Danio rerio: one gene and its partner. Each later gene encodes a partner of the first gene's protein in a complex. Links are inferred from orthologs where the notes say so. Each region holds a gene or a part of one and is shown on either strand. Other genes may lie near its edges.

Region 1 (4,148 bases):
GAGGGACCTTTGATTATTTTGAAGCAGAATTTCACACTGTAAAACCCAATAAGTTAAGGTAACTCAAACCATTTGAGGAAACCGATAGGAACAAAACATTTAAGTTCAAAAACTAATCCTAATGAGTGCTGTGAACTTAATCTATTTGAGTAAATGAACCAATTTGAGCACAGTAAACTCCAATAAATGAAAAGAACTCAAACCAACTGAGTACTGTAAAACCCAATACGTTTTCACTGTAAAAAGTGATTAGTTACTTAAAGCGAGTACACTAACTGCCTTAAAAGCAACAAGTTGACTTTACAAAAATAATGTAAGTAAACTCATTGTAACTTGGAACTGTAAAGTTGACTTAATTTTTATATTCATGCTAATTGTACTTAATTTTTAAAGTCAACTAATCCCTTTTTACAGTATCAGACTAATTTAGCACGTCTGTTTTTAAATAATTACTGTAATTATCACAGTAATACATATTTGATGCTTCATTAAGTCTATAAATTACACTTATAGCCTGTATTAAGGTAATAAAACCCACTGGAGTCTGGAAGAGCAGATTTATGAAACTGTCATTGTCCTGTAGATACAGAAAAGTTGGGGGGAAAAAAACTAAATACAATAAATGGGAAAAAGTGATTAGTTTACTTTTATTTTTAAAAAGTAAGTACAATTTGCATAATTATAAAAATTAAGTCAAGTGCAGTTTCAAGTTACTATGGGTTTAAACATTGAGTTCAAAACTCTTTTCAAATGAGTAGAACTAACTTTCAGTAAATTTTGAGTCAACTACACTCATTTTGTGTGATCAAGTTGACTGTTGGGTTTCACAGTGTGGTTCCTGGAAAAAAAAGGGTAAATCTTTTAACTATTTCTTGCAAAAAGGATACATTATTATAATATCCGATATAATATTTAAAAATGAAATCTGATAAACATATAATTAAAATGTGAACACATCAATTATGATTAATCTATTTATTGAAAACATATAAATATAAATAATATTTATAATATTTTTCCATACAACGTGAAAATAATAATAAAATATAATAATAATAATAATAATAATAATAGGCTTAATTTTTAAATCAAATATTTAAATTGTTATAATATGGATTATATTATATTATATTTATTGCGTATTTCATTCATTCATTCATATTCTTAGTTCCTTTATTAATCAGAGGTCGCCACAGCGGAATGAATCACCAACTTATCCAGCATATGTTTTACGCAGCGGATCCCCTTGCAGCTGCAAGCCATCATAAGCTAAATTGGCGGTAGTACATGTGTGTGAATGGGAGTGTATAAGTGTTTCCCAGTGATGGGTTGCAGCTGTAAGCGCATCCGCTGCGTAAAGCATGTGCTGAATCAGTTGGCGGTTCGTTCCGCTGTTTTTTTTAATACACCAGTGATTACTTTCAAAGTAGCCTACATTTAATCTATAATTGTAATACTGCAAGCACGTTGATAATATTAGAAGACTACTATAAACCATATGGCTCATTCGGCGATATCTATTATATAAAGCTTTTTATATAAACACTTCAAACTGCTTGGCTTATAAAAAGGCAGTGAAGCCCTTGTGCATGTTAAAAAGCTTGGCGCAATCGGTAGCACGGTTTTGCGCATGCGCACCAGAACATTTCTCTCAGTTCATAACGTCGAGTGTCCACGCTGTTCACAGAAACACAACATGTCAGAAAAGAAGCAAACAGTGGATTTGGGGCTTTTGGAGGAGGATGATGAATTTGAGGAATTCCCAGCAGAGGGTAAGTGAACTGAAAATGAACAGAAATTAGCTTTTTTTTGCTCGTTTTAGAGATAATAAACATCCACGACAGGACAGTGACTCAGCTAGCACAGCTAACGTAGCATGCTAACTGACAAAACATTCTTTATACAGCAAATTGTTAACATATCGTGTTTTTTAAAGGAATCTAATAATTATAAATTGTTTATACGTTTTTAAATAATACATCTGAGCGTGTTCTAAGTTAGTCCACAGCCGTGGAAAAAAAACGTTTTAGTAGTTAGCATTTTAGCATCTCTGAAGCTAATGTTATACATTGTGTACACTTGTCATTTGCTCAATTTGAAGTCAATGACTGCTTTTGTTAAACGTATGTATGTTTAATGCTCTGTACAGTCTGTTCTGTGACTCTTATTTGTGCATTAACATTAAGTCAACATTGAAGCCCGTGTTAATCATCTTATTGAACTGAGCTGTTGTCTCATTCTCAGACTGGACGGGCCTGGATGAAGATGAGGATGCTCATGTTTGGGAAGATAACTGGGATGACGACAACGTAGAGGATGACTTTTCTAATCAGCTGAGGTAGGAGATGCATTATCAATGTATAAATTATGTATATGAAATACGGGGCATGCTTTATTGTTGCACTAAATAAGGAGTATACTAGTTTAATCTAACTTCACAGTATGCAATTCCTGGTAAACATTATGGTGTTCTAGTGTCTCTTATAATCTGCTAGCATATTAACTTTCTGTCAAGCCCACATTTTGTCTAAAGAATTTGGTGTGGTTAAACTAATTTAGAAGAAAACCCTCCCTAAGGGAACTAATAGTCCAATGGCTAACCGACATTCATGGTGGCCTCAAACCACATTCACAAACTTTACTATCTGTGAGGACTTGGCCCAAGTACATACAGGCATTTAATATGCTTACATAGATGTTTAAAAGTATAAAATATAAGAGTAAGTTGCTATGTTATATAGTTTATGCTTCCTATCAAGGTTATTATAATTAAACATTTAACTATATATAAAAAAATGTCACTCGAAAATCTGTAAAAAATAAATAAATAAACCTTTGGTATATCAGTTTGTTGCTAATGTAAAAAGTTTTGTACTAAATTTTGTATGTACTATAAGGAAAAACATAAGCTGGAATCTAAATAATAAAAATTAAATGGGGATATTTGTTAAAAAAAAAGTAATGTTGTAAATACAAAAAAAAAACTTTATATCAAATAAAATAAAAAGAGCTCAGTTATAAAAACATAAATATAACCTAATCTTTGAGAATACCTCAAATAGAAATTCAAATAAATTTATACCAGTTTTTAAAAGGTTGATTAAAACACATTTTTAGAATTTAAATTTTTTAAAAATGGAAATAGAAAATTGAAAATAAAATCTTATTAAAAACTAAAATTCTATATAAAATTACTAAAATCTAATTATAGTAAAGTAACTTTTTTTCTCGGTACATTAAATTAAATACATTATTTTCTCTTTCCTGATGCTTATAAATAAAGCCAGACATTTTTTGTTATTTCTGCGCAGAATTATTTTAAAAATCTGTGGATTTATGCATAATGATTTTAGTAAAACTGTAACAAAACTTAAAGTATGAAATAAAAAAAAGAATATTTTTTTAAACTTTTTTTTTTTAGTGCTTAAAATGCAAATTCATATATGTAGATCCATTTATTGGGTAAACAACACAAGTCTGTCATAAAATATCCAATAAAAGACAGAAATTATTACTTTAAAAATTGTATTGTGAATAAATCAAAAGACCAATTTTTTTATATTAGGTCAATATTATTACAGAAATTGATTAAAAAAACTAAATAAATATAAATTTACTCACATTTACACAAGTAAATAAATGGACTCAGTGGTGGAATAAAAATCTGTGGTAATCTGTGTGCACAGATTTCATATGGGCCTATATATAAGCAATAAATCTGTTGACATTTCTCACAAATTCCCCATTTGATTTCCAGCACTATAAAAACTAACAGTTATAAGGGCTGTGCGATTTATTTGAAATTAGCATTTAGTTATGTACAATATTTTTGGATTATTTCATTTCCCCCGCCCAGAGCAAATGCGAGATTGCCGTCTGTGTGTGAATTCTTACTATCTAATTGAGTGAGCACACTTTCTGCCCAATCAGAATTGAATAGAATTGAACTCTGCGAAACGCCCATGATAAAAAACAAAAACAGGAAAGCGCAGACAAGTGGGATAATGGTATCTGCTGTTTCAAAAGCAATAATGAATTAACATAAAAGAAAAACAGCATTTGTTAATATGCGAATGTTTTGGTTTCAAACTCGCAGACACTGAACCAAACCAGGTCATTTTTAAGAGCTGTTGCAGAATTGTTGCTAT
Region 2 (4,133 bases), on another chromosome or scaffold:
CTAAAGCAATGACTGTACAACCGAAATGTTGCCAGACGTCTGATTTTGAGAGGATGGGCCATCCTCTATATCAGCTCCACTCATCTTGGTCTGCTAACATTACTGCTGCTGCAATCTGAACTCACGTGCGACAGCAGGTGGAACGTAGCTCACGTGCAAACAGCTCAACTAATAAGAGAAAACGGACGTCATATCGTAATCAAATCGTCATAACACCACGATGCATAGAGACATTTTTGCATTGCAATAAATCGTACAACGATAAATCGTTACATCCCTAATCACGATATATTTTGGTAATTTTCCCCCTAAATAAAATTTAGCCAGATCCGCACAACATACCTCTAAATAAATAAGGGTGCTGACGTATGTAGCCTACCTATATTTAGCAACCCTATTTAATAGAGCGGCATAACAGTGCTAGTCACATGGTTGCTTTCACTTTTATGAACATGAAAAAAACTAGTTTCGGCTATTATTTAAATTTAATTGAACAAAGGGAGCTGTTTACATTGCGTTAACCAAGGCAACTACTGATGCGGTTTGTGTAATGTTTTTAAAGAGCTTTGTCGCAGCAGGACAGTGGAAAATGAAACCGTATCCGTCCTGTCTGGCCTGGTTTGGCACGGAATGGAACGGTTCTGCTTAAAGAACGATTCAGCACGATAGTGGAAAAGCAGCTATTGACAATTTTGTTACCATATCTAAACTATTAAACATGACATAATTCGTATGTATTTATATGTGCAATTACCCAAGTCTGAAGATATCTGCCAGCTTCAGGAAGGCAGAGTTGATGAGGATGGGGAACGGGTATTTCTGGAAGAGTTTGGGAAAAAGGACCACGGCTTCACACTGCTCGCCCAGTTTACAAGACCGTAAACCTGGAGCAAAGACAAAATCAGAAGTGTGTGAGTAAAAGGAATGATTCACGCTCAAATATGTATGTTTTTTATTCATACTCTGTAAAAATGTTGGGTTCCACAATAGCATGAATGGATTAAGTTATATTATTAGATTTTACAAATTTTAGTTGATTGAATCTAAAACAACTAAGTGTTCCCAAAATAAAACTTAACAATTGTGTTGTTTCTGTTAATTTTAAATAAATGAACAAACAGCATACATTTGTCAAGTTACTCTATAACGATGGTTTGTTTTGTAGACTATCGGAAAAATATATAGCTTAAAGGGCCTAGTAATTTTTACCTTAAAATGTTTCTTAAAAATATAAAAACTGCTTTTATTCTTACTGAAATAAAACAAATAAGACTTTCTCAAAAAGAAAAAAATATATTATCAGACATACTGTGAAAGTTTTCTTGCTCTGTTAAACACTATTCTGGAAAAAAAAAAATAACAATTCAAATGGGGGCTATTAATGCTGACTTCAACTGTATTGCTTTTTTAGTGTCACATCCTTTGTTTGTTTTCTAAACCCATTTCAGTTTTATTACTCTGTCGAACACTAAAGAAGATATTTTAAAACCTGAACCACACTGTTCCAGTTACTATGACCATTTATGTGAAGCTGCTTTGACACAATGTACATTGTAAAAGCGCTATACAAATAAAGCTGAATTGAATTGAATTGAATATTTTGAAAAAAGCTGTAAACCTGTAACTATTGACCTACATTTGTTGTCCTACTGTGGAAGTCAAAGGTTACTGATTTTGAACATTGTTCAAAGTATCTTCTTTTGTGTTTGCAGCATGCTTTTTTATATAATTTAAGCACTTTTCAGATGCACATTTTTTGAATGCATGTGTATGTAAATGTGTGGCATATTACACATTTACATACACACACATGCTTTATTACATTTTATCAGATTCTATTCATAAGATTTTTTTTTATATGAATGTCATTTACTTAAATCTTAGATGTATCTAATTTCATCTTATACTCAAGGAGTGCAGACAAAATAAGATAGAAGGCAGATCATGCTACAGGCTTATGTACAGACCCCAGATTTTCATTTTATGCACAAGCAATGAGAGTTATTATACTTTTATTTAAACAGTAATTTTCACTGTTATTACCCGTTTAATAAGACAGGTAAAGTTGGTTTTATATTCGTACATTTGTTCATTGACAACTTGTGACACGCTCCCTATAGCGTTTACCATGGTACTTTGAATATTCAGTATAAAATCACATGTAAGTGTGACTTCAAAACAACATAAGCACAATTTTTTGACTGTAAACAATGTTGTACGTTCAGTAAGATCAATGATTATGAAAGCAATGCAATTACTTTCCAAGCACTTCATCCATAATCTAAGCACTTTTTAGACCTTAGTAGTTTAAAATTAAAGCATTTTATCACCCGTGTGGCGTGTGCAAAGAAGAAGAAACTCATAAAAGTCAAACTACTTGACGGTTGCGTAAATTCTGGATCTTTCCATAACATATGTTACATCCCTAAAACATTCTGTAAAAATGAAAACAAAGCACAGTATAGACTAAAGTACAGTAGTAGCCTACATAATAAAATTATAGAAGAGCTTTTTCATGCGAACAGATACAATGTATGATATTCAACATTAAAATAGCACACACACACACTGCATCAAAAAACAAATACACGTGTGTTGTTTATAAAGAGCCACCTTTATCGAGCTCCATCAGCGCTGAATTGGCGTCCAGCTCCTGCTCGCCGTATGCCGCCTCCGAAAGAAACGAACGCGCTGCTGAAAGCGACATTGTTTATTATTAGACTGCAAAAAATGTAACCCGATAGACTGCTCTCGGATTTAACACTTTATTTGTTTTATCAGATGGAGATTTTGTGCATTAAGTTTGAAGTGTGACCCGGTTGTAAAGCAGGTCACGTGACGCACAACGCCAGTTTCGTCGTCGGGTTTCCGTTGCGCTACAAGGAACGCTAGAAGCGAAAGCGACCCAAAGAGGTGACCAAAGAAGGCGGGGCTTATGAGTCGGCATTTACCCTGATTAGTCTAAACCTCTGCTCAGCTTTTAGGCTCTTCATGCTATCATAATTTTTATTTAATCATTTGCAAAATTATATATATATATATATATATATATATATATATATATATATATATATATATATATATATATATATATATATATATATATATATATATATATATATATATATATATATATATATATATATATATATATATATATATATATATATATATATATATATTATTGCTTGCTATCAGAACAAAATCCAAAGGATCCCAGAGATCACTTTAAAATGATCAATAGTATACACAGTCATAAAAATTATCACAAACACATACAAATAACATATCATTAGACTGAAAGGGAAAATATTAATAATTATAATATTAATAATAATAAAATTATGATAATAACAAAATTACTAAATTAAACAAACTAAATTAAACAAATGAATGAAATTACAATGACACTTAAACAAATAACCAAAAGGAAAGCAACTAAACTTAAGCATCTCCTACATCTGTATAATATTTCAGGAATTTTAGGGTTTTTTATTCTTAATAAGATTAAGTTTTTGTGTTTCTGTGGCGTTTACATGTTCTTCCAGTGTTTGCGTGGGTTAAAAAAATATATGCTGTAGGTGAACTGGGTAGGCTAAATTTTGTGTGTGTGTGTGTGTGTGTGTGTGTGTGTGTGTGTGTGTGTGTGTGTGTGTGTGTGTGTGTGTGTGTGTTTGTGTGTGTGTGTGAATGAGTGTGTATGGATGTTTACCACTTATGGGTTGCAGCTGGAAGGGCATCCGCTGCGTAAAACCATATTCCGCAGTGGCAACTCCAAAACAATAAAGGTACTAAGCCAAAAAGGAAATAAATGAAATAATGAATATATATATATATATATATATATATATATATATATATATATATATATATATATATATATATATATATATATATATATATATATATATATATATATATATATTGTTAATGTTAATGTTAACCCGGATTTTTTTGGGGCCACATGGCGCCTCTAGTGTTCGCAGCCATTCCACTCCGCTCGCAGTGGCTTAACACTTCCTGTTTCCTGACGTGTCGACCAATTAGAACACTGTTCGTCCATCTCGCGGGGAATTCGTCTTCAGCGCTTTTTCATTGTTCGCGGGAAACTTACCACTTCTGAACGCGACTTG

What was found. The genes of interacting proteins can lie anywhere in the genome.
Region 2: the proteins of sem1 (region 1) and ints7 are in contact, whole or in part, in a cryo-EM structure (PDB 8YJB), measured with the Homo sapiens proteins. The link is inferred for Danio rerio from reciprocal best matches to the Homo sapiens genes SEM1 and INTS7. Residues at the interface, in NP_006295.1 of Homo sapiens: Ala36, His37, Val38, Trp39, Glu40, Asp41, Asn42, Trp43, Asp44, Val48, Glu49, Asp50, Phe52, Ser53, Gln55, Leu56, Arg57, Glu59, Leu60, Glu61, His63, Gly64, Tyr65, Lys66, Met67; in NP_056249.1 of Homo sapiens: Lys410, Leu413, Asn414, Val417, Leu448, His451, Cys452, Ala454, Ala455, Met458, Glu488, Val491, Thr495, Leu517, Glu518, Ser521, Asn522, Gly523, Trp524, Val526, Tyr527, Arg528, Arg531, Gln532, Arg535, Ser548, Leu549, Thr551, Gln552, Val553.

What each region holds. Positions count from the first base shown.
Region 1 is NC_133194.1:44,123,191-44,127,338, reverse strand, and holds the start of sem1 (26S proteasome complex subunit SEM1), read left to right. Parts: upstream 1-1,336; 5' UTR 1,337-1,696; coding exon 1,697-1,772; intron 1,773-2,244; coding exon 2,245-2,338; intron 2,339-4,148. UniProt on the Homo sapiens protein: Component of the 26S proteasome, a multiprotein complex involved in the ATP-dependent degradation of ubiquitinated proteins.
Region 2 is NC_133195.1:14,373,823-14,377,955, forward strand, and holds the start of ints7 (integrator complex subunit 7), read right to left. Parts: upstream 2,806-4,133; 5' UTR 2,708-2,805; coding exon 2,614-2,707; intron 885-2,613; coding exon 755-884; intron 1-754. UniProt on the Homo sapiens protein: Component of the integrator complex, a multiprotein complex that terminates RNA polymerase II (Pol II) transcription in the promoter-proximal region of genes.